Diceros bicornis minor: one gene and its partners. The main gene of each other region encodes a partner of the protein of the gene in region 3 in a complex. Links are inferred from orthologs where the notes say so. Each region holds a gene or a part of one and is shown on either strand. Other genes may lie near its edges. The genes, in order: TMEM17, MKS1, TMEM231 and TMEM237.

Region 1 (7,154 bases), on a different chromosome or scaffold from region 3:
ATAGTCAGCATACTCTAATCCCACCCATTCATTAATACCCAATTCAATGCCACTTTTTCCATAAATCCCCTCTTGATCATATTCCCCTATCCCAGCAGATATCTGTTTCCCCTCTCAGCACTTAGATCACTCTAACTTGTGTATAAGAAGTGTTAGCAGAGAACCACACACCCCTCACTCGAGACACAGTCTGGTGTACTGAAGAGATCATGAGCTTTGGAGTCCAAGTAGACTCAGAACTCCCCAAACTCCCCTGTAACTCTGGATGCCAGACTTGGGATATGTTACTTAACCTCTTTGAGCTTCAATTTCTTCATCTGTAAAATAGTAACATTAAAATTACCTCCCAAGTTACTTGTGAGGATTAGCAATAATATAAATTATTTCACCTACCACCATGCCTGGCACTTAGTAGGCACTCAATAAACATTAGTTCCCATTCTTTCTCTTTTACTTATTCACAGCCTCATTATAAGCACAGACCATGTTCTACCCAAATTTGAGACCCTCATAAAACCTAGCATCTTGGTTTACACATGGTAAATACCAAATACACAAAAGCAGAAAGAATGAATTAATGAAAACATACTGTCATAAGGACATTATCAGTGTAGCCATTCGTGATACATGAGTTTCATTTCCCAGGCTGATTACACAGCACTTTTGCTTTTATGTAAGGGAGAAGGGTCCTAAATTAAGAATTTGATTTTATAAATTGAGTCCTACAAAGGTATCCTAAATTTGACTAAATTCTAACAATTTAAGAGAAGATATATATTTTGAAATCAATTGCTCTAAATGTAAGAATTTACAAAGGCTCTAAAATAAATTTCTTAAAAACTGATTCTTTTGTCTCCACAGCTGAATATTTTATGTCATTTAATAATTTTAAAATATATTTAATATTTTTATATTTAATAATTTAATTTAATAATTTTAAAATATAAGAAATAATCATGGTCTATCATAGCAAGAAGTTTTCCATTAGCTCCAAGAATATGCCTGATTATTATGATCTACTTTCTAAAAAATTCTATTATGATCTACTTTTGCTTGCACCTATTTATTAAATTACCACTGACAAAGGAATCAATTCTTAAAATCTGTTAAATCTGAAGGAAACTCACTAGCCTAGGATTTTATTCATAACAGTACAACTCTTGGTCAGCTGTAGACAAGATAATGATATACACTTGTAATTACAGTACAAATAATCAAACCTACTTCAGATCCACAAAGAAGAAAATGTAGAAAGATAACGATAAATTAGGTAAGCTGAAAAATTTAATACCTTTGGAGCAGAAACTGTAGTCAAATTTTGCAAAGAAGTTTTTATGTTAGAAATTTTGTACATGAGCATCTTAAGAGTTATGCTATGTCTATATTTCAGCAGATCAAACTTATAATCATGCAATCGAAAATCAATATGTAAATGAACCTTGAAAGCACAAGACACGAATTTACTAAATTTTGCAAAAGTACAAGTTGAATTCTGTAAATGGAACTTAAATTAAGACATTATATAAATCAGGGGTAAGCAAACTACCAACCAGCTGCCTGTTTTTGTATAGCAAGTGAACTAAAAACGGGTTTTCACATTTTTAATTGGTTGGGGAAAAAAAATAAAAGAATAATATTTTGTGACACTGAAAATCATATGAAATTCAAATTTTAGTGTCCATAAATAAAGTTTTATTGGAACACTGCCATGCTTATTCAATTACCATTATCTGCGGCTGCCACAGAGACCTATGGCCTGCAGAGTCTAAAATATTTACTATCTGGCACTTTACAGAAAAAGTCTGCTGACCCCTGATACCTTGCATCATCAGATTTTACCGCCTGTTAAGCTTTAGCTTTAGAATCAGAACTGTAAAAACCTAATATTTCACATTACATTTTTCTCCGTACATCCTAAATCATGAAGAGGCCTAAATTTGGGGGACAGGCAAATAAGCAGGGTGAAAAAACGCAACTATGGGAATTGACTTTACTTTTCTCTGTCCTTTTTAAAAAATCCTTAAACCAAGCAAGAGGAAAAGATTTCTAATCCCCAACAGAATTCAGTGATAAAAACCGCATGGGTTTGGTTGACAGTATGTTGTCTATCATCATGATTTAAGAGGAGGACACTGTTTTGAAGGAAACTGCGTTACCTGTCATGTTGAATGTAGCATCGTGGTATTTTGTTACCAGATTTAGGGAAAGAGTTACATATAGAGGAGGAGGAGAAAGCAGGGAAGGGGGCGAGTTTTGTTGAAGGCGATGCTAGTGTGGCAGCTGCCACTCTGGAGCGGATAGCGGTTTAAAATGACTCATTTTAAAAACTTGTTTCCATCTCTTCTGCCACAAAACGGACTTGTGGTGGAACGTACTTATTCTGCTAGCTAAAGAAAAAAGGAAAAGATATTTTCTCGGGGTAGGGGGTGGGGAGTGGGAAGGGGAGACTGCCTAGGCTGTTGTCACTCCATCCTGGCCAGAAAAGCCAGGGCGGACCCGCAAAGGAAAAGCAACTTCGGCCTTCGCGGAGGGCGCGGGAGCGGATGTGTGCTGCGAAGGCGGCTTTTATATTTTTATTTTTTGAAGAAGGCCGGCGCCAGCTCAGCTGCCCCGCTTCCAGGCCGCCAGCCAGGCCGCAGCACGCTCAGCCCAAGACCCGCCGGGGATCCGGGCTTCTCCTCCAAGGCGCTTTCCGCACTGCGGGGAACCAGCTGAAGGCGAAGCCGCCATCTTAGGTCCGGGCAAAATCTGGCCGCTCCAAAACCGGCGCCAGGTTGTCGGCAGGCCACACCCGGACCTTCGCCACTCACCCGGACCCTCGCTGTACTCCGGCCCGGTCCGGTTAGAGTCGCTGAACACGGTCCGGCTGAAGTTTCCCAGCCGCTGGCGGACCGGATCCGGCAGCTCCATGCCCGGGCCTCGGAACCTCTCACAGCTGGGTCTGCGGACGCAGCCGCGCTCTGCGGTTCCCACGGCAACCGGGCGGTGCGAGGGCTGGGGGCCCGGGTGCACGCGCGGCCGCACTGCGGGGCCCGGGTGCGGGTCGCTAGCCGGCGCGTCTGGAAGGGAGAGGTGCTCGGAGGCCCGGTACCTGCTGAGCGCCTCAGCCGGGTGCAAAACGGTAGATTCGTTAGTCCTGTTTTAAGCCTTACCCTTTTAAAAACAAATAGAAATAATAATAAATAACCTGGGCTTGGATTGTGATACAAAGTATGAGGGTTGGAGCCCTCATACTTTGCCAGTGGGATGCAACTTTTCTGGAAGGAAATAGAGAACGAATGCAGAGCTTAAAGAATGTTCATGACCCAGTAGCTTCTTTTTTGGGAGCTATATGTATAGTATGTGTGTGTATGTGTATATATATTTGATGGAGTATATTGCAGCAGCTTAAAAAACATGCTTGCAATGAATATTTGATGATATGGATTAACTTTAAGTAAAAATAAAAAACCAAAAGTAAAACTAAATAGAAATGAACCTCTTTTAGCAAAATGTGCGTGTGTAAATATGTGGGGAGCAGGGGTAGGTAGCACAAGCACCGTGGCTTCAAAAAAAGACTAGAAGGAAACAATCCAAAATGTTAATAGTGGTTATTTCTGGATAGTGGGTTGTGGGTGATTTAAATTTTTAAACATCTCTGTATTTTCCAGCTTTCTCTCAAATAAGATGTGTTATTTTTTAAAAAAACTATTTAAGTATAATATACATACAGAACTGAATATACATATGTAACCAGTACACAGGTCAAGAAACAGAACGTTATCAGCACCCCGAGAATCTCCCCCTTCCTGTTTCCTTACAGTCACTAACCCTCCACTTCTAAATGACCTTTCCCGACTACTGACAGCATAGTTTTGTCTATTTTTATGCCTTATATAAAAGTAATCTTGCAGTAAGTGCTTTTTAAAAAGAAATCTGGCTCTTTGCCCTCAAAATTATTTTCATGAAACTCCTTCATATTGTTGAGTGTAGATTCTCTTTCTTGCTGTGTGTGACCATGCCACAATAAGTTTATCCATTCTACTGTTGATGAGCATCTGTGTATTTTCTAGTTTGGAGCTATTATGAATAGTGCAGCTTTTGATGAAAATATACATCTTGGTGAACATATGCATGCCTTTGTGCAGAGTTTATTCCCAGGAGTGGAATTGCTGGCTTATGAGGTAGGACCCAGCTTTAATAGATACTGCCAACAGTTTTCCAAAGTGGTTGTACCAATTTCTATTTCCTGTAGCAATGGTGTGTGCATTTCTGTTGCTTCAAATCCATCACCAACACTTGTTATTTTCCGTCCTTTCCTTTCAGCCATTCTGATGGGTGTGTGGTGAACAGTATTATTTTTACAGTCAAAGGAACCGTACATATTTATCTAAATGCCAAGAGGAAGGCATGGGAGGAAATAGATACATGGCTAGAATCTCAAAATAATTCATCGAATGCTTATTGCATTCTTACTACTTTTTTTGGCATTGTACTTGGCTAATTATGGATATTCCTCTCCATCAAGAAGCTCAGCCCGGTGAAAGAGTGCGAGACATGGAAACAAATACGTACGATATACTTGAGTAAAGAAACACAGATGAGGAAGCAATTAGTTCTGGTTGGGGATGTCAGGGAAAAGCTGGCTAACTTCTGCTTCTTTCCAAGATAGAGCTCAGGCCTCAGCATCTCCAAAAGGCTTCCAGGACCTTCGTGAAGCTGGCTTAAGTGCCCTCCTCTCTTTCTCAAAGCATGTTCCTCTGTGTTACTTTGGAAGTGCTAGTCACGCTGTACTATAACTGTCTATTTGTGTCTGTTTCTCTTGCTAGTCCACGCGCTCTTTGAGGTCAGGGATGGGCTTTCATCTTTCTATCCTGAGCATTAGGATGGGTGCCTGACCTGGAGTGGGAACTGGATAACTATTGAATGAATAAAGGGAATAAAAGGTCTAAAGACCACTCCCATATCTTACCATTTCTAGTTCAAGGACTTACTTAGCCAGCCCTTATATAAGGTTCACTCTATAGAGAAGAGAATTGATATATTAAAACGCAGTGAATTATAGCAATCAAAAAAAATTTGGTGGGGGGCGGGGCGGCCTGGTGGCATAGTGGTTAAGTTTGGCGTGCTCCGCTTCAGCATCCTGGGTTCACGTGTTCAGATCCTGGGTGCAGACCAACACCAGTAGTCAGCCATGCTGTGACGGTGACCCACGTACAGAATAGAGGAAGATTGGCACAGATGTTAGCACAGGGCGAATCTTCCTCAGCCAAGAGGAAAAAAAAAATTTAACTTAGCAACAAAGAATCAATTATTGTCTATTAAATTAAGCAAGATTTTTTTCTTCTCCCCAAAGCCCCAGTGCGTGGTTGCGTATCTTAGTTCTAAGTCCTTCTAGTTAGTCTTTGTGAGCTGCCGGCACAACATGGCAATTGACAAATGGGTGATGTGGTTCCGCAGCGGGGAAATGAACCCAGGCTGCCAAAACGGGGAGAGCGCTGAACTTTAACCACTAGGCCATCAGGGCTGGCTCTAACCAAGACTTTTATAAAGGGCACAGTGAAGCAGGAATCTTCATACTCTGCTGATTGAGTTATAATTTGAAGAATCTCATTCAGGAAAGCAATCAGCAATATGTACAAATTGCCTTAAAAATACTCCTGCCTTTAATACAATGATTCAATTTTTAAGGCTCTATTTTGGGGAAGTAATCATAAAAACAAATAACATTTTATACAGTAAGAGATTAATTCCAACATTATTGATATTAGTTAAAAAGAAAAAAAGGTGGGGGAGCATTTGGAGTGCCCAATCACAGGGCCTAGTTAAGCAGATTATGATAATCCTGGTGAGGTGGGCTATAGTGGAAAGGATGTCCTTGGAAGCAGAGAGAGCAGGGTTCGAATCTCCTAAAATTCTCACTTTACCCCATAAGAGCCATGCGATTGATTTCAGACCTTTGTTTTGTAAAGTGAGAATAATGATAACTTACTGTTATGGTTGATGTGAAGATTATATCATTAAATAAGGCTTTCTATAAGTGATGGCTGTCTTTGACACTTATCCTTCTATAAATGATGGACATCTTTGATGTTTGTGAAGAAAAAACACCTACAGTGGAGTGAAATCATGCCAGCATTTAATTTTCTGAATTCAGCTGTACCTATGAGGCATACCTCTATTGCTTTCCTAGTAAAGACAGTGGGTAGAATTAACCACAAAACAGTCCATGCATGTTAACCAAATTGATCAAAGGCCTGAGTGAATTTCTTTAAAGATTTTTTCCTGGCATTGAAAAAAGATATGAAACACCTTATTCAGATTGCAATTATTCTATCAAAATCCTGGAGGAAAAAATTGATAGAATTATGGGTATTTTTCATTTTATTTGTTATTCAAATTTACTATAATAAGCATGCATTTTATAGTTTGAAACAAATCTTATTAAAAATAAATTGAGAGAAAGAGGCAATGATGGTGCAAAATTGTATTAAAGAAGAGTTTTGAGAGGAAAAAATTGTGGTTTAGAAAGAATCCTGCCGTTACTGATGTCACAAATGGTCCAAAGAGCTCAAAAAGCTTTTGAAATATTATTTTGTTGGTTGATGCTCACAATATTTATAGGCAATTACATTAATGAAATGCTCAAGAACAGAGAAGGGAACCCACTTTCATGGAGTCAAGACTAGTATAATTTGGGTTTCCCATATTCTAGACATATTCAGAATCTGAAGAGAGGAGTAGGGAGTCTCCATTCTTAAAATCATGGGAATCAGTCCCGGCAAGATTAATAAATAATCCTATAAAGTTAAACTGTTTACTTCTTGTACCAGTGTTGATGGTCAGAGTAATAGCTGCTTCTCCAATAATTGTTTAATGTATTTCATTGGAGTTTAATTTCATTTATGATTTACTTTCCTAAATATTCATTTTCACAAAAATTTTGAGACTAGTGCAATGGTTTGGGTCTCTTTGACAAGAGGCAAAGTTGTCTGGTAATAACATTATCTTATGTGACAAGAAACTGATTTGGAGAGTTATTTAAATTACTCCTTGGCGTAATAAAGATATAAATTCTTTTCACTTGATACTAATAAAAAGTTTAGGAACAATATTTTTAAGTAAACATGTTATTCAATTTATTTCCTTAAAATGAATTGAGACATTTCTAAGAA
Region 2 (7,237 bases), on a different chromosome or scaffold from region 3:
AATAGCACAAGGCAGTTCTTCGACAGGCTGTCTGTTTCTCCCTAACAGGCTTCTAATTTAACACACAGAACCCAGTGAGGCCAGAAAGCTAGGGGAGGGAAAGGAGACGGAAGCTATGGGACCTCCGAAAGAACAATACCTCCTCCAAATTGGTGTATCTATCAGAGTCAGTGTAGGTAAAGATTCGTCGGTTCTTCCTGCCACCCGAATTCTCCAGCTTCAGGATTTCTTGACGGTACTGATGATCCAAAGGGCTCTGACAGGCTGCTTCATTTTGGTACAGATCTACTTCAAACTGAGGTCACAATGAGACAGAGATCTACTGAGAATATGTCAAACTTTTTTGTGTGTGCGTGAGGAAGATCAGCCCTGAGCTAACATCCATGCCAATCCTCTTCTTTTTGCCAAGGAAGACCGGCCCTGGACTAACATGTGTGCCCATCTTCCTCTATTTTATACGGGACGCCACCACAGCATGGCTAGACAAGCGGTGCCTCGGTGCGCGTCCGGAATCCCAACCTGTGAACCCTCGGGCCCTGGAAGCTGAGCGCACGCACTTAACCACTGCACCATGGGGCAGGCCCCAAATATGTCAAACTTTTGTTCCTATAACTGTTTAGTCAAATCAGTTCTATAGAGCTAATGCAATTTGACATGTTTTCGTAGCCAACTCTCAATTTATCTAAAGCACTGGAGGGCAGGGGATCCAAAGAATGTTAGAGCTAAAAGGAACCAGGGTGATGGTCTCATCTAACTCTGCTGTTACAGACGGCACGTGGCCCAGAGGTGAAAAGTGCCTTACTCAGGATCATAAAACTGGGTAGTGGCAGTCACTATGTTACACTGCCCCTATAAACACAACAGGGGAAAATATAAACTGCTACAACCTTTCTAGAAATCAGTTTGGCAGTATGTATCAAAGATCCTTCCCTGCTACAGCCAGGTGGAGGTAGACCTAGCAGACAAGTGACACCAGCTTACCTGGCTAAAGAGCTTCTCCTGCCACCCAATCACGACCTCCTCCTCTTCATCTTCATCTGGGCGGTGTCCACCTCCAAAGACAACAGAGTGCGTCAAACGTTTGAGCCAAAGCAGTACTACTTCTTGCTCTGTGGTTGGTTATAACCAAAGTCCCTGCTCTAATATTTGCCACAAAACCAGGTGGAGTTCAGCAATTTATTAAGCACTCACTCTACACAAAGGTTAGAGAGGCTGTGGACATGTGTAGAAGCCAGGATTAGGACCCAAGAAGTCTTAATTATGACTCTAATTTGAATAAAAATGAGTCATGCCTTCCAGGAATTATTTAATCTAATTCAGTGTCAGGAGCTGAAATTTAGATATAGGCTGAAGAGCTCTTCCTCAACCCCAACTGTCTACATTTGCTAGAAAGGAACCCTGGCATTGTTATCCTTACTATCCCTGAAGCCATATATCTAGAATCACAAGCACTTACCCTTAGGAGACCAAGTATCAGGCAAGAAGAGGAAAGGCAAATAAATGATTATTTAAAGAACCAAATCTGGGGCCGGCCCGGTGGCGCAAGCAGTTAAGTGTGCGCGCTCCGCTGCGGCGGCCCGGGGTTCGCTGGTTCGGATCCCGGGCGCGCACCGACGCACTGCTTGGTAAGCCATGCTGTGGCGGCGTCCCATATAAAGTGGAGGAAGATAGGCACAGATGTTAGCCCAAGGCCGTCTTCCTCAGCAAAAAAAGAGGAGGATTGGCGGATGTTAGCTCAGGGCTGATCTCCTCACAAAAAAAAAAAAAAAAAGAACCAAATCTAATACACTCCTGGCTGGGTATGCCTTTTTCAGAGTTACATGCTTCACAACCATCAGCCCATACTTTTGTCCAGGAATATATACGAACAGAAACAATAAAAGCAGAGAGAATAGTGACAACACAAACACACTGTCCTCGCTTCCTCACTCTTCTGGCTTCCCAAATAAGGAAAACCACAAGAGGGCAGTTGATGTTAATATGTACATCTTTCAAGCAGACCCCAATTTTAACATCGTTTTACAAAGTATTTGGATCAGATTTTCTCTTAGAAAAAAATGCCACAAATGGTATTTACGTTTCCAGGCAGATTTATAACATATCTAAAGTATGGCCTCTGTTATTTTATTATATTTGACCACAATTCAGATCAGTATTTTGACGGCAGGAATCATGTCATATTCAATTGTCATACTCAACATAATGGAGTAGTTAAAATTGCCTGGGATTAAATCTGGCTTCAACATTTACCCAGCCGAGTGACCCTTGGTAAGGAACCCAACCTATCTATGCCTTTTCTCAGATGAGAGACCTGGGTCTACTCTGTCTTAAGAGGTAACTACCGCCCCAGGCACTTCTCCAGATCCCCAAGGGGCCGCATCACCACCATACACCCACTGGCGGTTGGGTGAGGCCTAAAAGTGGCCAAGTCTATGAGGTCCTTCCCGAGCTGGGCAGCAGGCTGGTAATGGAGGAAGCTGCTTGATGTGATTCTTTGCAGGTGGACTCTGTCAGGAAAAGGGAACCCGAAATACTCGTTACAAGACATACAACTAGGAGATGAACACAGAGCAAAGATGGAAACAAAACACAGAAGAGGGTGAGGCTACCAAGGTGTACTGGGTGCAGGCAACAGAGGGGGAGGTAAGCGGGGTGTGGGGTCCTAAGGAGAAGGGCGAGAATGACAGAGTGTATTGGGGACACAGAGCTCCGAGGAATCTGGGAGAGGCAGGGTCTTAAAAGGGCTTCGGAGAGTCTGGAAGCTGTGAGTGCGGAAGGTTCCGGGCAGTGAGGGCGACGCGAGGAGAATGGGGAGGCAGTGGTCAGGATTGTAGGCGGATGTGCGTGCCTCAGCAAACGAGAAGTGAAGTTCGGGCTCGAATTATCTAAGGGCATAAAAGCACGGGGCTCTAGGTAGGGCGATGCGACTACCGGAGGCGCAGGTTGCGCACGGGGTCCCGAGAGCGATACACGGCCTCTCCGGTGTCAGTGCTCCAGAAGGCCTCCGCCATGACAGCTGCGACGCGCCGCGACTGCGCCGGAAAGCGCGTCGCTCCGTTCCCCCAGCAACGGAGACGCTGGGCTGGTGAGGTGTGGAGGCTCTGCGCGCGCAACTCGCGGTCAGCGGCGCCGCGCTGCCGCAGCCCCCCCAGGAGGGGCCTAGGCCAGGCGAAGCGTGTGTGCACGCTCAAGCTGGGGTCCTGCGAGCCACCGTTTGCAGCGCGTGAGAACAAAGGTCGCTCACACCCAAGGCTGGACTTGATGCACTTTACAAATGAGGAAACTAAGGCAGAGCCATCGGCCCCTTTCAAATAGATTCAGAAATGGTGATGGGGACCAAACCCCGGTGTCCTGAGTTCTCAAACACTACTTGTTGCACCACATCACACTGCCTTCCACTGAGTGATCGGAAACTTTGGCCTGAAAATCGGTGGATGTGACTCACAGAAAGCACCCATTTTTCCCAAAAAAGTCACGTAAGGTGATAGCACTGTGGGGAATCAGAATTTGCCACCCCAAAATGTGTCTCTTTGGCTTGATTATTTTGAAGGACAAAAGACCCTAAAGGAAACTTTGACCTTCCCCCTAATTGCCTAAAAGGCTTTAAGATTGAAGGACCTGTCCCAGCAAGGCGCTCTCACTGTAGATAATTCTAGGTGTGGTAGACAGGAAGGCATCTAGCAAGGGCCATTTTCTCAAAAGATCGCTTCCGTGTCTCATTGTCTGTAGATGGCCCAGCAAACATTTGCTTATCCAACATTTGCTTTTCCATCACCATGTACGTTGCCTTCCTCCCCCACAGTTTGGTGACCAGGATGGGGCAAAACTTAACTGGCTGGAGGCTGCTTGCTCCTGGACTACTGCAGCTGAGAGAGATCCTGGATCCCTGACAAGAGCCGGCAGGAGGTAAGAGTTCTTTCCAGGTCAGTCTCCCGGATCTCTGCCTGCATGGTCCAATGGAAGCGAAAGTGGTGAGTGTTTTTCCTTTTCTAAATTTAGATTAGCAGGAGAAAATATTGGTGAAGCTAGCTTCTTGGCCTCAGCGACTCTGGGAAATTTGGTTTGAGTACTCATTGATTTATTTATTGATCCTTTTCCTCCCAGAGATAGTCACTATTTTTCCTTGTCTCTGTCTTTGTGTCTATGTCTTGAGAGCTTGGCTTTGTGACCTTTTTGGTCTCCACCATTCAGAAGATGCAGGTACTGGCATGCATCTTGGCGATCAGTCGAGTAGACTGGGGTCTGAGATGCACTCTCTTTGTCTGGCTGTATCAGCTCTCAGGGGGGTTTGTCATAAGGCATCCCACTTGCTTTCATAAGGGAATTCTGTCATCTCAACCTTTGTGGCTTGTTAATGCTGGTCTTACTGCCTGGGCAATGAAGGCCCTTGCTTTCTTAGTATTTTTGTGAATGAACTTTCTGGATCTTGTGAGGGCTGCTTCTTTTGCACTATGTTTTGGGGATGGCTCCGTGTCCATGGTTAAGCCATAAGGCTTATTGGTTTTGAAGCCAGGTACTTGAGGGTTACTGTAAATATTCAATAAGATTACTTTTCAACCTTGTTCCCAACACAGGCGTAGATGAAAATAAGTTAATCTTGTCAATTTGCTGTTTTCTTGTTTAACCTGAGGAGTGACTCAAGGATCACAAGGATTTATGAGCTTGTTTTACAGAAGAAAAAGAATGCCTTCAAGGATCCGCAGATAACCAGCCCCCAGCTGCTGTGGACACCCAGAAGTCAGATTGCCCAGGGGCTTATCGGGAGTGAAAGAAACATGGATTACTCCTTTGTTTCTTTGAAACTCCTCCTGCCAAGCCACTTAGCTCTATAAAATCCCTTGCTTTCTTCTCTTAAGGCAGATTTGAGAGAACCTATCCTCCTGACTTCTCGTGTGGCCAGTTCAAATAAACCTTTCTCCATCTCCAAGCACTGATATCTCAGCGATTGGTTTACTGCACACCAGGCACATGAACTTGAGATTAAGAAGTTCAGTATCAGTTTGAGTAGCTATTAAGATCCTCCTCCTCAATGTGGCCAGATGATGGATCATTTAAATTGGAAAAACTTCTCTAAATTATAAAACATTTTTTGAGAACTCTCATCATAATTGTTTTATTGGTAACTATGAAAAGACCAAATTAAAAATGAAATACAAAACAAATAATGACTAGCCTTCAGACCCTGACTCAGGTTACAATTAAATTGAGAAACTGTAAAAATATAAGTGTTGATGAGATTATAGAAGTTGAAGTGTTTGAGCTAATATTGTACAGAGGCTATATCAACTTTGCCTGAGTGTGTTTTGAAAATGGACGTTATATCTGGCTGGGAACACTTCCCCTTCCAATATTATAAGACTGAGACCTATTGATAAAGTCCTAATGGAACTATCATTAGAGGTATAAGAGTTAATGGAATTCAGATGAAATTTTGTAGAAAATTGATATATTTATGGGCTTTATGTGAAGTGATTGCATCTCTTTTTGCCTGATTGTATTATAGATCGTATTATGGGGATAGACATCCTGTCTTACTGGGGAACATTTCCCCTGCCTGATTGTAAGACAGCATATAAATCTGCCCTTCAGACAATGTTAATTAAATATACTAAAGGGAAGTCAATAGAGTTGCCTGAGCCTGTACTGTATGAGATAAAAACTAGAGGCTAATATCAGGTGCTAATAAAAAAAAAAAGGTAATAAAAGCTCCTCCCCACCCAAGGTAAATTGGTCTAGGATTAAATTGTACACTTAGAAAGAAGGCCTTTGTTAAATGCTTTATGCAGACTTTTAAAGGTGTGGTACATTGTCCTAAAGTTTTAAAACAGTAGCTGTGGAGTCTTTGTGTATGTGTGTCTATATGTATATTATATATGTGTGATATTTTACCTCTGGAAGCTATGGCCAAGATTAAGAGCTCTGTTTAATTGGCTTAAAGTAAGCACTTACATAAATTATTTCTAAATGTAATAGAAACTAATTCAAATGTCTTTCAAGTTAACATGATATAAAACAATCTTTGGTAAATGCAAACTTGTTTAAGTTTGTTGGTTTGATTGAAATAAACATGTCCTCAGAGTTATCGGCGTTGGATATCATGCAGACATGCAGCCTGGGTTTACTAGTCAAATAAGCTCATGTTGGGCTGGCCCTGTGACCTAGTGGTTAAGTTCAGTGCACTCTGCTTCAGCAGCCTGGGTTTGGTTCCTGGGCACAGACCTACACCACTCATTGGGGGCCATGCTGTGGCGGCGACCCACATACAAAATAGAGGAGGATTGGCACAGATGTTAGCTCAGGGTGAATCTTCCTCAGCAAAAATATAAAATAAAATTAAAAAATAAGCTCATGTTATCTCTGTTAAAAATTTGTCAGGAAAATAATAGCTTAAAATGATAAGCTAATTTTGTCTAATGTCTCATGAAGTTTTCGTGGGTAATCTAAACATAGTTGTTGGGAGCAAATGATTTAGATGTAAGTGAGATAAGAGTTTATAGATAAACTTTTAGCAATAATTATATTTTATGGCATGAGTATTTAAAATAACTTCCAAAATCTCTTTAGTAACTTGAAATTTTGAAGTTTTGCTTGGCTAAATTAAATGATGGAAATTTCACTGAATATCAAGATCGTTTCTAAATAAGATAAAATATTAGATGTTAATTATTAATATAGGTTCATCTACTTTTGGCTTCTTATTACAGAGAAACTAAAAAGTGTTTAGGTCTTTTAGAAAACATGTCTTGTGTTTTATTAAAAGATTGTACTGGGGGCCAGCCCCGTGGCGTAGCAGTTAGGTGCACGTGCTCCGCTGCTGGCAGCCTGGGTTTGGATCCCGGGTGCACACTGATGCACTGCTTGTAAGGCCATCCTGTGGCAGCATCCCACATAAAGTGGAGGAAGATCGGCACAGATGTTACCTCAGGGCCAGTCTTCCTCAGCAAAAAAAAAAAAAAAAAAAAGAGGAGGATTGGCATGGATGTTAGCTCAGGGCTGATCTTCCTCACATACACAAAAAAAGATTGTACTATGAAGTAGCATGTTTCTAGAAATTATGAAAAGTGTTTATAAACTTGCCAAGCCACAGAATGCTACTGTAAAAGACAGTTTATAATTGCTTACTTCTCAGTTTTCACTAAAAATTAAGGTCTATAAGGGTTAAAAATTCTAATATGTGATTAAAACTACTAAAAATTGATAAGGAAAACATCTTTGTATTCAAGGAAAGTAAGATGTA
Region 3 (7,567 bases):
TTGCTGTTGAGGTCTGTACTTCCACTGTCTTCTCATTTCTTGTATCTCATGATTTCAAACTATTCTCAAACCAAGAGCTCAGGTAGGAAGGAAGCAAAGCATTTATTGAGAAAGACTGTAGATAACAAGGCCATAAATTACTTATAGGCACTGGCCTAGAATGAAGGGGTAAAAAACTAAGAAAAAGGAGCTTTGGTTTTGTGTCTTACAAAAATTACCCAGTATGAAAGGATTAACGGTTCTGGGCACCAAAAAAAAAAAAGAGGTAGTCTTGGCTTTGTAGATTTAAAATCGGAATTCACACACACCAGAAGCAGGGGGAACATGGGCAATGCTCTCAAGGGAGCAGTTTCTGGTTACCGAGATAAGAGGCTAACACAGCGGTCCAACCGGGGAGCCAACCACTTGTGGTGGATGAACAAGTGAAAAGAACGAATGAACGAAACCTAACGCTATATCCCTGTTTTCATGATTATTTTACATTTTCATGATTATTTCTTAGACTCAAGTAACCAGAAGAATAGGATAGAGAGGAATATACAAATGTAAAGAAAAAAATTTAAGACAGGGACTGCTAACCTAAAGTAAACCAAACAAGTTAATTTTTTATTTGGAATAAAAAATCCTTTGTTTCCATTTTTGGAAATGAAACACACGCACATGGAACACCAGAAGTACACTGGGTACACAATGAAAAGTAAGCATACCTCAACACTGGCCTCTCATCCAGTCACCCTTCCCAAGAGGCATTATAATCTCAAATAATAAAAATGGGCAACATGTCATGATTAGTGAGGAGCTACTGAAAGAAATGTCTCCTACTCCAGTTCTATTTTTAAAATCAATTTAAAAGACCTAAGCATTTAAAGAATCAAAGTGTTCAACCATATTTGTTAGAAAAACAGACTTCCACTCCCATAACAAATATTTTCATCTCATTTACCTCATTATTTAGAAACGTATCTCCATGTTTTAACATTTGAATTGGCACTTCTCGATTTCTCAGTTTCAGGCATTCTCTATTGACTTCCCACAAGGAAAGATGAAGATTTAGTTTTCTTCCCCTCACCTCCCACCAGCCCCCACCACCCACACCCACACACACACACCCTTCCCATTCTTTTGGTTAGTCAATACTCAGTGTTCATATAATTATGACTACGTAAATACCATTCACAACTCTGATTACTTTTCCTTTCTCACTGTTCCTTACTTTTTCTTTCTCTGGAGTTACTGTTTTATTTGCTTGCTTAGTTTTCCATGTACTTACACAATTTCAACCAACAGCTTCCATTCCAATTCAAAATCTTACTCACTGCAATATTCTAATAGTGAAAAAGTAAAAGCAAATCAAATATCCACCAATGGGGAAGTGGTTAAATCCATCATGGTTTTTCTATATTATGAAATACTTTGCAGACCTTAAAAAGAATAAGGTTAATTAACAAGTATTGATTCATGTACCAAACTAAGCCTTTAATTTTATGCCTTTCTGTATACCTGTAACTTTTTCATATTTTACAATGAGCATGCATTTTTATAATCAGAAAAAAAATATAAGAAAACGTAAAGTAACCAGAAAAAAAGTAATCTGAATCATATTTTGTTTGTAGTTATTCATATAACAATAAGGTTTAAAACTTTTTTTCATTTCATTTAGCTGCTAGAAAAAAGTCTGAATTTTTGTTTTCAGCTGCACAAGTCTGGCTTGTAGGCCAATCAGCTCAGAGATGTGTAAAGAGATTCAACTTTGGAAGAAGGAAAACCAGAATTTTCATACTTCCAAAGCAAAACGTTTTCAGAAAATGTGCGGAAAGGGGTGATTGTCAAGGAAGCACTCACTTATCCTGAACCAAAGACTAAATTACAAATAGTAAAATGCTTCATTTTCATCCCAGACAGCTGCAGGATGGAGCAGCATCTAAAGGTACAAGCTCAGGGACTAGGCCAGCCCGACTTTCTGGGGAGGTCGCTGAACCAATCACCGCCTTGGCTTCCATGTGTCAAGTCTTCATAAAAACGCCTACCCTTTGCGTTCCCACCGTGGTGCGATGCACAACTGCAGCGACATGATGGGGTTACAACAGGAACACTGCTCGGCCTTCATGACCCACGAACTTTCCCGACCACCCTTCCATGAGGCCAGGCCCGGAAAGGACGGGGCCAGCGACAGGCTGTCCCCAGGCTTCTGCACTCTGTCAGGACGCAGACGCTGACAGCAGTGGCTAACCTTCTTGGGGTTGGAGACGGCTTGGAGAAGTCGAATGAAACGAGAAATTTACCTCTCAGTAAATTAAACCAGTAAAAGAGGCCAGTAAATAGGCTTAGGCCAATGAGCCTGTGCACACAACCTCCATGGGTTCGCGAACCCTTAAGATCCACGCTGGGCTCCCCGGGGGCTCAGGCCGGGCAGCTCGCTACCTCCCTCCCACCGCCACCACCGCCCAGTCCCCGGGGTGGGGGGGCTAGAAAAGGGCAGGAATCACGCACCGAAACGAGCGGGACGCGCAGGTGATCCCCCTGCAGCCGGTTGAAGGCGGGGAACGTGCTCCACGCGAGAAAGCCGCCGCGCTCGGATCCTAGCAGGGCTACGAGCAGCACCTGGTGCTGGAAGCGCACGGTCGGCTGCTCCTCGTAGCTGCTCCGCTTCAGCCAGAACCCTGAGGTAAAGAAGGCGGGAGGGCGGTAGGGAGGAAGTCAGGAAGGCCGGCCGGGGCGCCGCGGGCCGCAGGGGCTGTGCTGCGCACCGGCCGGGGGCAGGCTCACCGTGGCTCCGGAAGGCCACCAGCAGCGGCGGGATGTACGTGAGCACGGCGGCCAGCAGCAGGAACACCGCGGCCTTGGAGCAGAGCCCCGCGCGGTAGCCGCGCTCGGCCGGGTGAGAGTAGAGCTCGTAGAGCGCCATGAGCTCCGCGCGGACTAGCGCCGCACGCCCGGGACCCCTCCGCGGTTCGAGAGGAACGACTAAGTTTGGCTTCTCCTAGTTGCCATAGCTGTGGTCTCCACGGCAACCGACGGCGCAGGGAAAGGAACCAATAGCAAGGAAGCGGGGCCACCGTAGGGGCGGGGCTGACGGGGGCGATGCGGGCTGGTGGACGCTCGACCCGCTTTACGCGTTGCGTGCGTTTCTCCAAAGGCTGGGTGGAGGTAGAATGTTTGCGTGCACCAAAATCATAGCCACCGCCCGTGTTAACACTTGTGTAAAAGAAGATTTTCATAAAAGTTGCCTTACAGTAAATAGCTGCTTGTATGTTATCTGTTAATCCACAATGTGGTTCATACTTAAGTCCAGCTAGTCACAGCACACCCTACATGGGAGGAAAACACACAGAACATAAACTGGCCGTGATCCTCCACCTGTTCCTGGGATAAGACAAAAACCAGGTCCCTTTGTCTCCAAAGTTTCGTTGCTTTCACTCTACTCCATAGTAGGACAGACATAGAAACAGGACACAAATCTCGCAGCTCTTCGTGGGATAAAGGATAATTACTACATAGCTCTCTGCTATACTTTGTTACATGTATTGGGTACAAGCCTGGCTACTGGTTTTAGAGGAAGCTATGGTCCTCCCCAAAGATAACATTGGCTTATCACTTAATTGAATGTTTCTAACCCCCAAACCAGTATTTCGAGCATGGCAGAAGGATTTTTTTTTTTTTTAACCATGGTTCACAGCCAAGTTCTTCATCAAAAGGGCTTGAAGGATCACACTGCAGTGCCAAGAGATAGTGTGAAGTTTGTGCTTAGAGTGGAGTCCAGTAGTTGATGCCCCTATTTTGAAGGCAACCTAGAAGTGGCTTTTAGATGAAGAGAACAACTGAGATCCTAACAACACAGACAGAGGGAGGTCAGGATCTGCCCATTTGGGATAACTAGCTAGGGCCCTTACCATAGTCCAAGGTGACAGTGTCATCGGCCATATGATGCTTTTGACATATCTGGTCTAGTCCTACTCATTCTTGCTTTACAGCTTTTCTGGGATGGCAACACAGCTCTTAAATACAGCAATTGTTAGCTTAAAGCTATGTTATGATTCTGACATTATATTCTATCTATGGTTTAGTGGATGACTTTCATTTATTTAAATAACCATTAAAATAAGATTCTAGAATAAATGGTTCTACTATCGCATTGTGAGGGTGGCTCTGAGGAAGGAGGTGTTTCCCTCCACAGGTCCTTCTTTCAGCAGGAAACACACACTGTAGCTAGTGTCACTTGGTCACTGCTGAAACAGGGAGGTGACTGCTAAGAATTTAGGTGTATGTGTTGGGGCCCGGTCTGGTGGCGCCGCAGTTAAGTGCGCGCCCTCTGCTGCAGCGGCCCGGGGTTCGCAGGCTCGGATCCCGGGCGCGCACCAAAGCGCCGCTTGTCAAGCCATGCTGTGGCGGCGGCCCATATAAAGTAGAGGAAGATGGGCACGGATGTTAGCCCAGCGTCAGTCTTCCTCAAGAAAAAAAGGGGAGGATTGGCATCAGATGTTAGCTCAGGGCTAGTCCTCCTCACAAAAAAAAAAACAAAACAAAACAAAAAGAATTTAAGTGTATGAAGTGCTTCAGCCTCCCCTGAGATGCCATGAGCTTTGCAAAAGTATTTAATAATAACAGATACTAAGGGCCAGCCCCATGGCTTAGCGGTTAAGTGCACGTGCTCCGCTGCTGGCGGCCTGGGTTGGGATCCCAGGGGCGCACAGACGCACTGCTTCTCCGGCCATGCTGAGGTGGCGTCCCACATACAGCAACTAGAAGGATGTGCAGCTATGACATACAACTATCTACTGGGGCTTTGGGGGAAAATAAATAAATAAATAAAATCTTAAAAAAAAAAAAAAAACAGATACTAATATTTACTCTGTTTCCATGATTTGAGGAAGCTAGTCTTTGTGTTTTTATTTCAATTCTTTAAGAGAATATTAGATTTTTTTAAATGCTAAAGATCTGTGTATATTGTGTCATTTTCACACATTCATGACTGAGAACTGACTTCTCAGTTTCCATTTCCATAATTTTCTCATGTTTCATACAATTTACCTCCAAGATCAAAGAGAGTTGTTCTCTTAAAACTACACATTTTAATCATGTTTTACCCCTTTCTAGAAGCTCCCATTCAGGGTCTCTTGAATCAGTTTAAAATTCCTGAATTTTTGCTTCAAGGCTTTGCAACATTTTTTTCACATTGGCATTTATCTATATTGCTGAACCTTTGGCTTCCCAGTTCCCCATTCCAACTTCAGCCTTTGTTTCTATCTTTTTTTTTTTTTAGGGAAGATTGGCCCTGTGCTAACATCTGTTGCCAATCTTCCTCTTTTTTCTCTTTTCTCCCCAAAGCCCCAGTACATGGTTGTGTATCATAGTTATAGAGTCGTAGCTCTTCTATATGGGACGCTGCCTCAGCATGGCTTGATGAGTGGTGAGTAGGTCCGCCCCCAGGATCCCAACCAGCAAACCCCGGGGCAGGCCCCCAAAGTGGAATACTCGAACTTAACCCCTATGCCACCAGGCCTGTCCCTGTTTCTATCTTTTAAGGGAAGTTTATCCTTTAGAAAATGTACTTTTCTTTCTGAAACATAAGATTCACATTCTCTGTGAAGTCTTTCTTGGTAAGCCTTGCTTGGCTTTATGTCAGCCCCCATTGCCCTAGCCATCCCTCAGTATCCATGTTCACACACCTCTCCAACATTTGAAATTTATTCTGTGTGTGTTATAAGTCTGTTAATGTGTCATTGCATATATTGATGATCCTATTTCTCCTCCTGACTCACCTCTTCAACTAACCACCCCCTCAAGGAAGGCATCCAGTGTCCTTAGAACATTCAATCAGCTAAATGTAATGACCCAATAGGCGAAGAAGGTGATGCATATCATCAAGGCAGATCAGAGAAGCCAATTAGAATGGTGAACTGGAAAAAGACATCAAGAAAGTAGGTAAAGATAGAAGACAGAAAGACATTGCACATCATTGAAACAGGTGACACGACTATCAATTGGGTGAATGGTGGATCTTTCCCCTGAGAAGTGTACTAAGCTCTTCCAGGCGCAAGGTGGTGTACACATGCCTTGGACTAGGACACAATGACCAGCTCTGTAAAGGGAAGCAGGGATCTTCAGTCCAATTCTAACTCCTCCACTGATTCACAATCAGATGGTGAACAACCATCTTCATCCCTCAGTGTTTAATTCTATTTGCAAAAAAGGTATTTTCATTTTTTCACTCACTCTCTAGCTGATCTCATCCAGTTCAATAGCTTCAGTATTTCTCTTCTGAATCTGAGACTCATAGATCCATTCACCTACTCTACATCTTCACTTGGATATGTCTCTTGAGCATCTCATACTTAATATATCCAAAACCAAACTCTTGATTCTCACTCCTCAAGCTAGCTCCACTCTATTTTAGTAAATGGCAATTCCATCCTTTCAAAAACCCTGACTTGACTTGTCCCTCATACCTCATATCCAATCTATCAGCAAATTTTGTCTGCTCTACCTTCAAAATATATCTAGAACACAACTGCTTCCCACTGCCTCCACAGACACCATCTTGGTTTAAGCCAACATCATCCTTCACCTGGATTATCACAATAGGCTCTTAACTGTTCCCTTTGCTTCCATCCTCAACCCCTTATAGTCTACTGTCTACACAAAAGCTAACCTGATCACTTAAAAAGGAAAGTCATATCATGTCACACCTCTGTTTAAAACCCTCCACTGACTCTCATTTCATTCTAAATAAAATCCAAATTTCTTCACATGGAATTCAAAGCGCCACACAGCTTTGTTCTAGATCTCTTTGATCTCATCTCCTAACACATTCCTCCTTGCTCATTCGCCTCCAGCCACAAGTGGATCCTTCTTATTCCTAGAATATGCCAACCACTTTACCTAATTAGCATTCTATCCCACCATCACTCTAGTCTCCAACCCTGCTTTATTTTCCTGAAACAGCACCTATCGTTACCCGACATATCTATTTTCTGTCTTTTTTTTTTTTGTGAGGAAGATCAGCCCTGAGCTAACATCCATGCCAATCCTCCTCTTTTTGCTGAGGAAGACCGGTCCTGAGCCAACATCTATTGCCAATCCTCCTCCTTCCCCCCCCCCCCCCTTTTTCTCCCCAAAGCCCCAGTAGATAGTTGTATGTCATAGTTGCACATCCTTCCAGCTGCTGTACGTGAGACGCGGCCTCAGCATGGCCGGAGAAGCGGTGCGCTGGTGCGCGCCGGGATCCGAACCCAGGCCGCCAGTAGCGGAGCGTGCGCACCTAACCGCTAAGCCACGGGGCCGGCCCCTATTTTCTGTCTTGTCCAACTAGAATGCAAACTCCATCAGAACATGGGTGTTGTCTGTTCTGTTCACTGCTTTTCCTGAACACCTAGAACAGTGCTCCTATATGCAACAACAATAATTTCTAGGTACAAAATTCAAAGGATTTTTCACTTCATTAAAGACAAACAAGCAAACAAAAACCTATTTTGGTTACTCAGACACACAATCTTAAAATAACAAAGATACCTTTAGAATGAAGCTAGATTCCACAGCATCCATCAGGAATTTCAACTGTAGGAAATGA
Region 4 (7,734 bases), on a different chromosome or scaffold from region 3:
TATCATTTCAATTTTAGTATATGTGCTGCTGAAGTGAGCACAAGATAGCTTTATATTATCCTTTCTCTATCATTATTTTTATGTTCATATGTTTTCAATGATTACTATATCAAGGTCTGACTCTCCAGTTTGCATTTCAGACAGTGGAGTCCATGGATATATTCTCTGAGTCTTACAGGCATTTAAAATTGTGTTCTTATTTTTATGGTAATCTAAACAAATGAACAAAATTGTTTCTGGATCATGTGTAAGGTCACCTTGTAAAGCAGTACTGCCACGAGATTCCAGTGCCTGCATTTATATTTGTGTTTATGATGCATTGGCAACGAGTTGTACTATTTTAATTGTTGTCGACAAATAAAATAAGAACAATGAATTTACTGCATTAGTGCTCAGTGAAGGCCAAATGACCTTCACTGAATGAACATCTCACAATAGTAGAAAGAGACGATATTAGGGTGAATTAGGTCATCATGAAGGAAAGGGTAATTGAAGTATGCCTAATTCAATAGAACTGGGTCAGAGCATCCTCATGTTGAAAGTGGTCATTGTGTATTGCAAAATAATGTCATTCTTATCAGATTAATGTTCATTTGAAATTTGTGTTTAAATTTAACTGGTAAATTTTCTTTGGTTTTATGTTGTATATTGTTTGAGAGCTTCAAGTGTTTAGATAATAGAACAAGATATTTTAAGTCCAAATGGGAAGTTGAGAGGATTGGTCTGTCTACAAACTGTTACTAAATTTTGTGAAAACTTGCCCAGGGAGACGTTAAGTAAGACTAAAGATAGAAACATAAGTTTTGTGGTTTAGAATAAAGCACATTTATTTGACCTAACTTTTCATAAATAGCTTCACAACCAAATGTAACAGCTGCATAACAGTAATCATAACAAGCTGCATATTATTTCTATTGGTCTCATTACTCGTTACGTTTGTGCTATCCATATGTTTCTATTTCCCCTGAAGGATGAAGATCTACAAGAGATGGAGGATTTAGCCCAAAAAATGGAGACTCAGTTTGGCCAGTTTTTTGATCACGTGATTGTGAATGACCGCTTGCAAGATGCATGTGCCCAGCTGCTATCTGCAGTTCAGAAGGCGCAGGAGGAGCCGCAGTGGGTGCCAGCAACGTGGGTTTCCTCTGATACTGAGCCTTAAGGAGGCCTTCCGCTTCATGCTGGAGTTTTAACAACGTTCACCTGTTACAGAGCTCTGGCCTAACAGCTGCAACCTAAAACAGCAGCATTTGCCCTGTTACAACGTGTGCAACTTAAAAGTGCTGCAGTTTATTAATTAATCTTATTTGAAAATATATTTGTATTGTATAGTTATGTAGAGTTACCTATTTGGCTTTTAGAAAAAAATGTTTTCCTTTACCTCATATGCAGCAATTGGTAGGAATATGAACCATGTTAAGTCACTGAATATAAGAACCTTTTATAGATTTCATATGGTCTTTGTACAATTTAGATAAAAGAGCTTTCCTAAATAAAATAAGTATTTAATTTCAGAAACTATATTTTACCTTATGAAACTTCTGTTTTATGAAAATGGCTTTCACTTGACTAACTCAGCAAGAAAGAATATACACAGTTCACACCTAACATCAAAACCTACAGAAACTGCACTACCCTCAGCACATTACACAACAGGCTACAAGGAAAAAGTCGTCTCCTGCTCAGAGCTGTAACAACCATCAATTTTCCTAAAAGCCAATATCTACATTTATGCCTAAACTAGGAAAGGGCAATAGACTTCAGTCCTAGAGACCAATATCTGAGAAAACCACAGGATGAGGATATTATTCCACGTAGTCTTGTTTTTCTTTCTTCCCTAGGTCTGAGACTTTCAGTCGCTTCTCCTGCACCTGTTATGTGTTTATCTTCTGCATCATCCTCCAACTTTCTCCATATCCACACCATCCCTCCGCTCGCTTTAACTATGAGTGTGTGCTTCAAAATATTTGTAGTTTATAAATTTAAAGTGAATATTATCTCTGTAGAAAAACCCAACCAAACAAAACGAAGAAAATTGTCATTTTTAATGATGCTTATGTGAGCCCAGATTTGATTTTATGTTGTGCTTCGAGAAAAAGGTTTCCCAAACTTGATTTACACAGTTGTGGGATGGAGGGCAAGCAACTGGAGAAAATTTGACAATTGCCTGTGTTAACACACACACACCCCCAAGCGAACCGAGCCGAACCCTGGGGCCCCGCGGCTAAACGCGTCGGTGCCCGCCTCCGACGCCCCGGAACGCGGGGCTGCGCAGAGCGGCGGCGGGCGGAGACCTGGCCCGGGCGGGGGCCGAGCCGGGCGCCGCGAAGCCCGCCTCCCGGGGAGCAGGCTCGGGCCGCGGCGGTTGCGCCGAGGAGCCCCGCGGGGAGGGCGCCATGAGGGCCGACTCGGGGGTCGGGCCGGAGGAGGGCGGCCCGGTGAGCGGGGAGGGCGCGGCGGGCCGGGCGGAGGGCGCTGCGCTGACAGCACCTACCCCGCGCGGGGCCCACGCCGACGCGCTGGGGCCCGGGCAGAGCCCCGCTCCGGAGCGTGCGTCCGCCCCCCGGAGCCCCCGGGCCGGGCCGGGCCGGGCCGAGGCGGAGGCTCGCCCCGAGGCCGGCCCCGAACTCGCGGAGCCAGGCGGGAGGTTGCCGGCGGCCGGGGCGCACGTTGCCATGACGACGCGGCCCGGGCCCTGCGGTTCCCGGGCTGCGGGCGAGGCCCCCGACTGCCTCCCCCCGGAGGGTCCGCCGCCGGGAGGAGAGCGCTGTTAGCCCTTTCTCCCTCCCGCCAGCAAATCACCGCAACCACTTGATGGCTACCCCTCGCCCGCCGGCGTCTCTACGCCCGGCCGCGCAGGCCCGACTCCGCCGCCGCGAGTTCCGCAGGGGCAGCCCGGGAGGGCCAGCCCCGCGCCCGGAGGAGGCCGCGGGCCCCAGCGGCCTGGGGGCGCAGCCCGATGGCGCACTGCGCCTGCGCGCGGCCGGGGGGCGGGGTGCGCGCCGGGGAGCGGGCGGCGGCCGGCGGCCGGGGAGCCGGCCGGAGACGGAATGGGGAGGAAGCAGGTGGTAAGCGAGCCTTAGTTACTTTTGAGTTAGGAAGATTTTGTGTTCGCTTGGGCCGTTCTACTTTTGAGGGGCGTAGAGGCTGGCCGTCTGGATGGGTGACACGTCATTTTTGCGGGACTTTTGAAACGTGGCGTTAACGGCGTGAACTGAGCGCCTGGGTAGAACGCCGGCCTTAGCATCTTCGGGACAATAGCGCTTTCGTGGAACTGTCGTTCTTTCCAGTCGAATTGTGACTACTGGACAGTATTAAGACAGCCTGCCGTGTCCTACTCTTGTAGCATTTGTGTTGCTACACTGTTTGAATGATGGATCGCTAAATGGGACAGTTGTAGAATACAAGAGTGTCTAAAATTTAACCCTTTTGAATCGGTGTCTTTTGCAAGCCGAGTGAGATACTGATTTCTAGGCATTTCTGTTTGTTTTATTTTGAAAGATTTCAGAATGCTTCTTAACTGTAATTTCTCTGAACTGCAAACACAACTTTTCCTATTCATGTAAAGTAGCATTTATAAGATTTTTAAAAAAATTCTTTCTGCCCTAAAATGCATTCTTCACGCTGTATAAAATGCTTAAAACCTCCGTGGTTTCCCGTTAAATTAAAAGAAAATCTAGACTCCTTCTCTTGGTCTTCAAGACCCTGATTTTAATCTGGTCCCTGCCTTGGTAACTGTCTGGCAGCCTTACTGGCCTTCTTTTATCTGGAATACTCCAAGCCCAATCTTCCCTAAACGCCTTTGTATTTGCTCCCCTTTGGCTCCTTTCTTATTCAGGTCTCAGCTCAAATATCTCAGAGACTTTTCCTAACTAAAGTGGCACTCCTCAGCCTCCCTCATTTATTACTATATATACACACACACACACGTATATATTACTGTAGTAATATACGTAGTAATACATATATGTTACTATAGTAATATATATATATTAATGTTATCTTCTAATACTTAACCACTAGAATGTAAATTCCATAAAAGCAGTCTCTCTGTTTTGTTCATTAGTGTATCCCTAATGCTTAGAACAGGGCCTGCCCTTTAGATAGAAAGGAATGTAGGAAGGAAGGAATTTTATATGACATTTAGAAATGGTGAAACAAATTTAAAATTGTCCATCTGATTCTCATCAGTATCTCCTGGGTTTCACTTGATGAACAGGGTTATCAAAAGATTTGAAATACATGGAGTAGAGATGCTCTAAAGCTTTTCTTACAAGCAGTTTTCTTCTTCTTTTCCCCCAAAGCGTCCTCCACGAGCCCTTCCACCTGTGCCAAGGTAAAAATAATTTAATTTTATTACTGCGTTTTAAAAATGTAAAATGAATAAAGTGAAAAAATTATACCATTACAAAATGATAATAATTCAGAAAAGACTTCTTGAAAATTTTAGGAATGGCTTCCTAAAAGTTTAAAGGTGAAAAATCCTTGAGTCATTAGTGTAAGTAACGGTTATAGTTAATGTTCTGGTTCAGAGCCTGACTGTTAGCGTGGTAGGATGATGGGTCCGTTCTGAGTGTTTAAGTCTCTTGTTTATCAGAATTCTGATCCTCTTTTGTTTGCTAGAATAGTTTCCGCAGAGTTTAAGCTGATTTTAATCAGTGACAAAATAAGAGTTCTTAATCTGTTTAATCCACTTTATTAATAGACAGTGGGGAATATGTATATGTTGGTTCAGAAAATATTAGGGTTATTTTATTGGCAGTCTTATTAAAGAGGTTATTACTTATAAATAATAAGCTAGTTTGTAAACTAACTGACTGTGTGAAAGCTAATTTTATTTTTAATTTGTAATGATTTAAGTCAAATTTCAGTCTGACAATATAATATATTTCTAATTAATAGTTTCTTTTTTTGTCTTTGTCCTGATTAAATTTGGTCGGTGTCATGTAAAGTGCTATTCAAGGTGAGTTAGTTCACTGTTACTGTAAAACTTTCTAAATGTAGTATTTGGTGTTCAAAAGTTAGTTTGATTCCTTAATGTTTCTCTTAAATTTGAATCTGAATGGTATAATTTATAATACTACAATATCTTTTTATCATAATAATCTCCTCTGACTGCCATTTTTTAATGATGGTTGATGTATAATATTAGTTATGTGGTTGATATTTGACCTTGCAAAAATAAAAGCACTCATCCCTTAATGGAGTCACCCGGAACCTAACTGCTGGCCATTTATAGTTCTGTAATAGGGACTGCATCTTTCTTTGTCTCACTGAGCCAGGAGAGACTGGGTTATGTTACACTAACCGCCAAGTCTCAGGGACTTAGTATCATACAAGGTTATTTCTGGGTAATATGGAGTCCATTGAAGCAACAATCCAGGACAGCTGCCTTTCACTGCCCCTTCACTGATGATGCGGTGATTCAGCCTACTTCCATCCTGTGGTTCTGCCATCTTAACGTGAGGCCTCCTCAGTTGCCACAGCAAGGGAAGAGAAAGCTGGAGGGTTACTCACTGGCTCTTTCAATATTTTGGCCCCAAAATGACACAGATCACTTTTGCTCGAAACCTATTGGCCAGAACCAGTCATAGGCCACACCTAAGTGCAGGGCGGGGGTGGGAGGGGTGACGAGAATATTTGGTGAGCCCACTTTCTGTGTCACAGTTTCTAACATTACTACCAGCAATGAGCTATTGGTGCCACGCTGTGGGCTCTCTTTGACTTTGTCAATTTCTTGCCTTCTTCTCCTAATATGTAGAAGTTGGCTGGACCCAGGGAAGAGAGGGAAAGTTCTTCCCTACTTCAAGTTCACTTTTGAGTGTTCCCTGCATTGAATTTTAGACAGCCTTTTCTGTTGTTGTTCTTTCTGTTTTGTAGATGATATTCCCCTTAGTCGTCCAAAGAAAAAGAAGCCCAGAACAAAAACCACACTAGGTAAGAAGTTGTTCTTTGTTGTATGGGGTCACATGTTTTTCCAGAACCTCAGATGTGATAAACATCACAGATCAAGTCCCTGCTGTGTTGAGGATAGAATCAGGGTCACTTTGAAGCGGTGGGATTCCTGGTGGTAGTGAGGGACAAGGCAGGGTTCAGTCTGAAGAGTGTCTAGAAGCATTCATGGAATAAAGGGTTGTGCCCCCTAAACTCTTACTTCCAAAACATTCTCTGACTCTTTGAGGTCTTTTATCCCTAGATAACATAAGTTGTCTCAAGCTGAGATTGGTTCCAGACCCTTGAACAGGATACTGGATTTAGAGACCTAAGGTTCCTGATCCCTCATTTCAGTCAGAGAATCTCTACAGTAGAGCGTGAGTCTGAAGGCAAGGCTGTATAATGCAGGTAGTAAAGCTCTAATAATGAGCAAGTCTTAGTTATGCACTAGTAATCCTGGATGTTCTATCAGTAACTCAAATTCAGCACGTCCAGAATTCATCTTCACCTTCAACAATAAATCAATTTTTACTTCTCACTTACGAATTTCTGTTAATGGGACCCCCCCACTCTCCCAGTCATTCAAGCTGGAAACCTCAAAGTCAGCCCTCTAACTGTTCCCTTCACTCTCCTGGCTGCCTCACAAGCTGACTTATTCTGTGGTATCTTTTATGTCTCTTTTCCCCCTTTCATCTCCACTGTCACAACTGTAGGTATTTAGATCTCTCTTCTCCCTGAGCTGTTGGGGTAGCCTCCAGCATTGCTCTGTACTTCTAGCTTTCCTCCACTCTGGTCGGTTCTGCCCACTACTGCTGGTGAGCTTCTTAAAGCTCATAGCTGATCATGCCTTCCACCTGGTCAGAAACTTACATTGGCTTATTGCCTGACAAATGGAGGAATAGATGGGGGGGGGAGAGAAGAAGAAAGAAATGGAGATGAGTGCATAGAGAGAGAAAGACATATAGACACAGAACAGAAAGAAAAGAGATGCAAAGAGACTTAGATTCACAAAGATACTCACTGAAATGCTAGGCTCTAAAAATACACTCACAGTTAGTTATAGACACACATATGGACCTAGAAAGGTCACAAGTGGAGGATGCGGTAAAGACAGTGTTGGGGGAGCAGAGGTGCAGTCTATCCCAGCTACCAGTCTTCCTTCTTGTAAAAAAGAGAAAAAAATTCAGTGCCCCAGACCAAAAAGGGGATATATTGCTAGGCTTTTATTAAAATTGTTCATTTAGGGGCTGGCCCAGTGGCATAGCGGTTAAGAGGCTGAGAATTCTTAAGGCATGAGACAAATAAGAGTTCTCTATGGTGACGGTTCTGTTGTGTTTTCACCTTTTTGAAAGTTCTGAGGCAATTTCTCCTCCTCCTCTTCTTTTGTTCTTTCTAGCCCACTGGCTTTTTTCTTCCTCAGCCTTCCTTATTCCCTCATTTATTTCTTTTCTCAACTTAAAGCCCAAAGTTACAGGTGAGGAGGAAGGAAATCAAGATTTGGGGCACAATCAGTTCTGTATGAGAAGGGGTTATTCTATAGGAAACATTCCAGTTCCCTTTTTCCTGTCTTTTTAAGACTTAGTGATCTCTGCTCAAGTTATCTCATTTTTCCCACTGTTTTTTTGTAGCTAGTGCTTCTCTGGAAGGCCTTGTTCAAACTGCTGTTCATAGGCCTTCTGAGGGCAGTGAGCTGCCAACTAAAGACCCCAGAGAACATCCAGAAGCTCCTGTTCAGAGGAGACAGAAGAAGACAAGGCCACCTCTTGGTATGTAGAGAAACCAAGGTTAGGTTGTGATTTG

The links.
Region 1: TMEM231 (region 3) and TMEM17 share a complex: the UniProt entries of both Homo sapiens proteins name them as parts of the tectonic-like complex. The link is inferred for Diceros bicornis minor from reciprocal best matches to the Homo sapiens genes TMEM231 and TMEM17.
Region 2: TMEM231 (region 3) and MKS1 share a complex: the UniProt entries of both Homo sapiens proteins name them as parts of the tectonic-like complex. The link is inferred for Diceros bicornis minor from reciprocal best matches to the Homo sapiens genes TMEM231 and MKS1.
Region 4: TMEM231 (region 3) and TMEM237 share a complex: the UniProt entries of both Homo sapiens proteins name them as parts of the tectonic-like complex. The link is inferred for Diceros bicornis minor from reciprocal best matches to the Homo sapiens genes TMEM231 and TMEM237.

What each region holds. Positions count from the first base shown.
Region 1 is NC_080751.1:24,967,956-24,975,109, reverse strand, and holds the start of TMEM17 (transmembrane protein 17), read right to left. Parts: upstream 3,014-7,154; 5' UTR 2,911-3,013; coding exon 2,811-2,910; intron 1-2,810. UniProt on the Homo sapiens protein: Transmembrane component of the tectonic-like complex, a complex localized at the transition zone of primary cilia and acting as a barrier that prevents diffusion of transmembrane proteins between the cilia and plasma membranes.
Region 2 is NC_080757.1:29,467,804-29,475,040, reverse strand, and holds the start of MKS1 (tectonic-like complex member MKS1), read right to left. Parts: upstream 3,021-7,237; 5' UTR 3,012-3,020; coding exon 2,932-3,011; intron 2,508-2,931; coding exon 2,398-2,507; intron 1,053-2,397; coding exon 982-1,052; intron 296-981; coding exon 140-295; intron 1-139. UniProt on the Homo sapiens protein: Component of the tectonic-like complex, a complex localized at the transition zone of primary cilia and acting as a barrier that prevents diffusion of transmembrane proteins between the cilia and plasma membranes.
Region 3 is NC_080771.1:25,997,471-26,005,037, forward strand, and holds the start of TMEM231 (transmembrane protein 231), read right to left. Parts: upstream 3,008-7,567; 5' UTR 2,906-3,007; coding exon 2,767-2,905; intron 2,661-2,766; coding exon 2,491-2,660; intron 1,326-2,490; coding exon 1,271-1,325; intron 1,027-1,270; coding exon 944-1,026; intron 1-943. UniProt on the Homo sapiens protein: Transmembrane component of the tectonic-like complex, a complex localized at the transition zone of primary cilia and acting as a barrier that prevents diffusion of transmembrane proteins between the cilia and plasma membranes.
Region 4 is NC_080749.1:79,490,036-79,497,769, reverse strand, and holds the start of TMEM237 (transmembrane protein 237), read left to right. Parts: upstream 1-4,717; coding exon 4,718-4,725; intron 4,726-4,952; coding exon 4,953-4,963; intron 4,964-5,880; coding exon 5,881-5,937; intron 5,938-7,562; coding exon 7,563-7,700; intron 7,701-7,734. Other genes in the region: MPP4 (MAGUK p55 subfamily member 4), read left to right, coding at 971-1,162. UniProt on the Homo sapiens protein: Component of the transition zone in primary cilia. Required for ciliogenesis.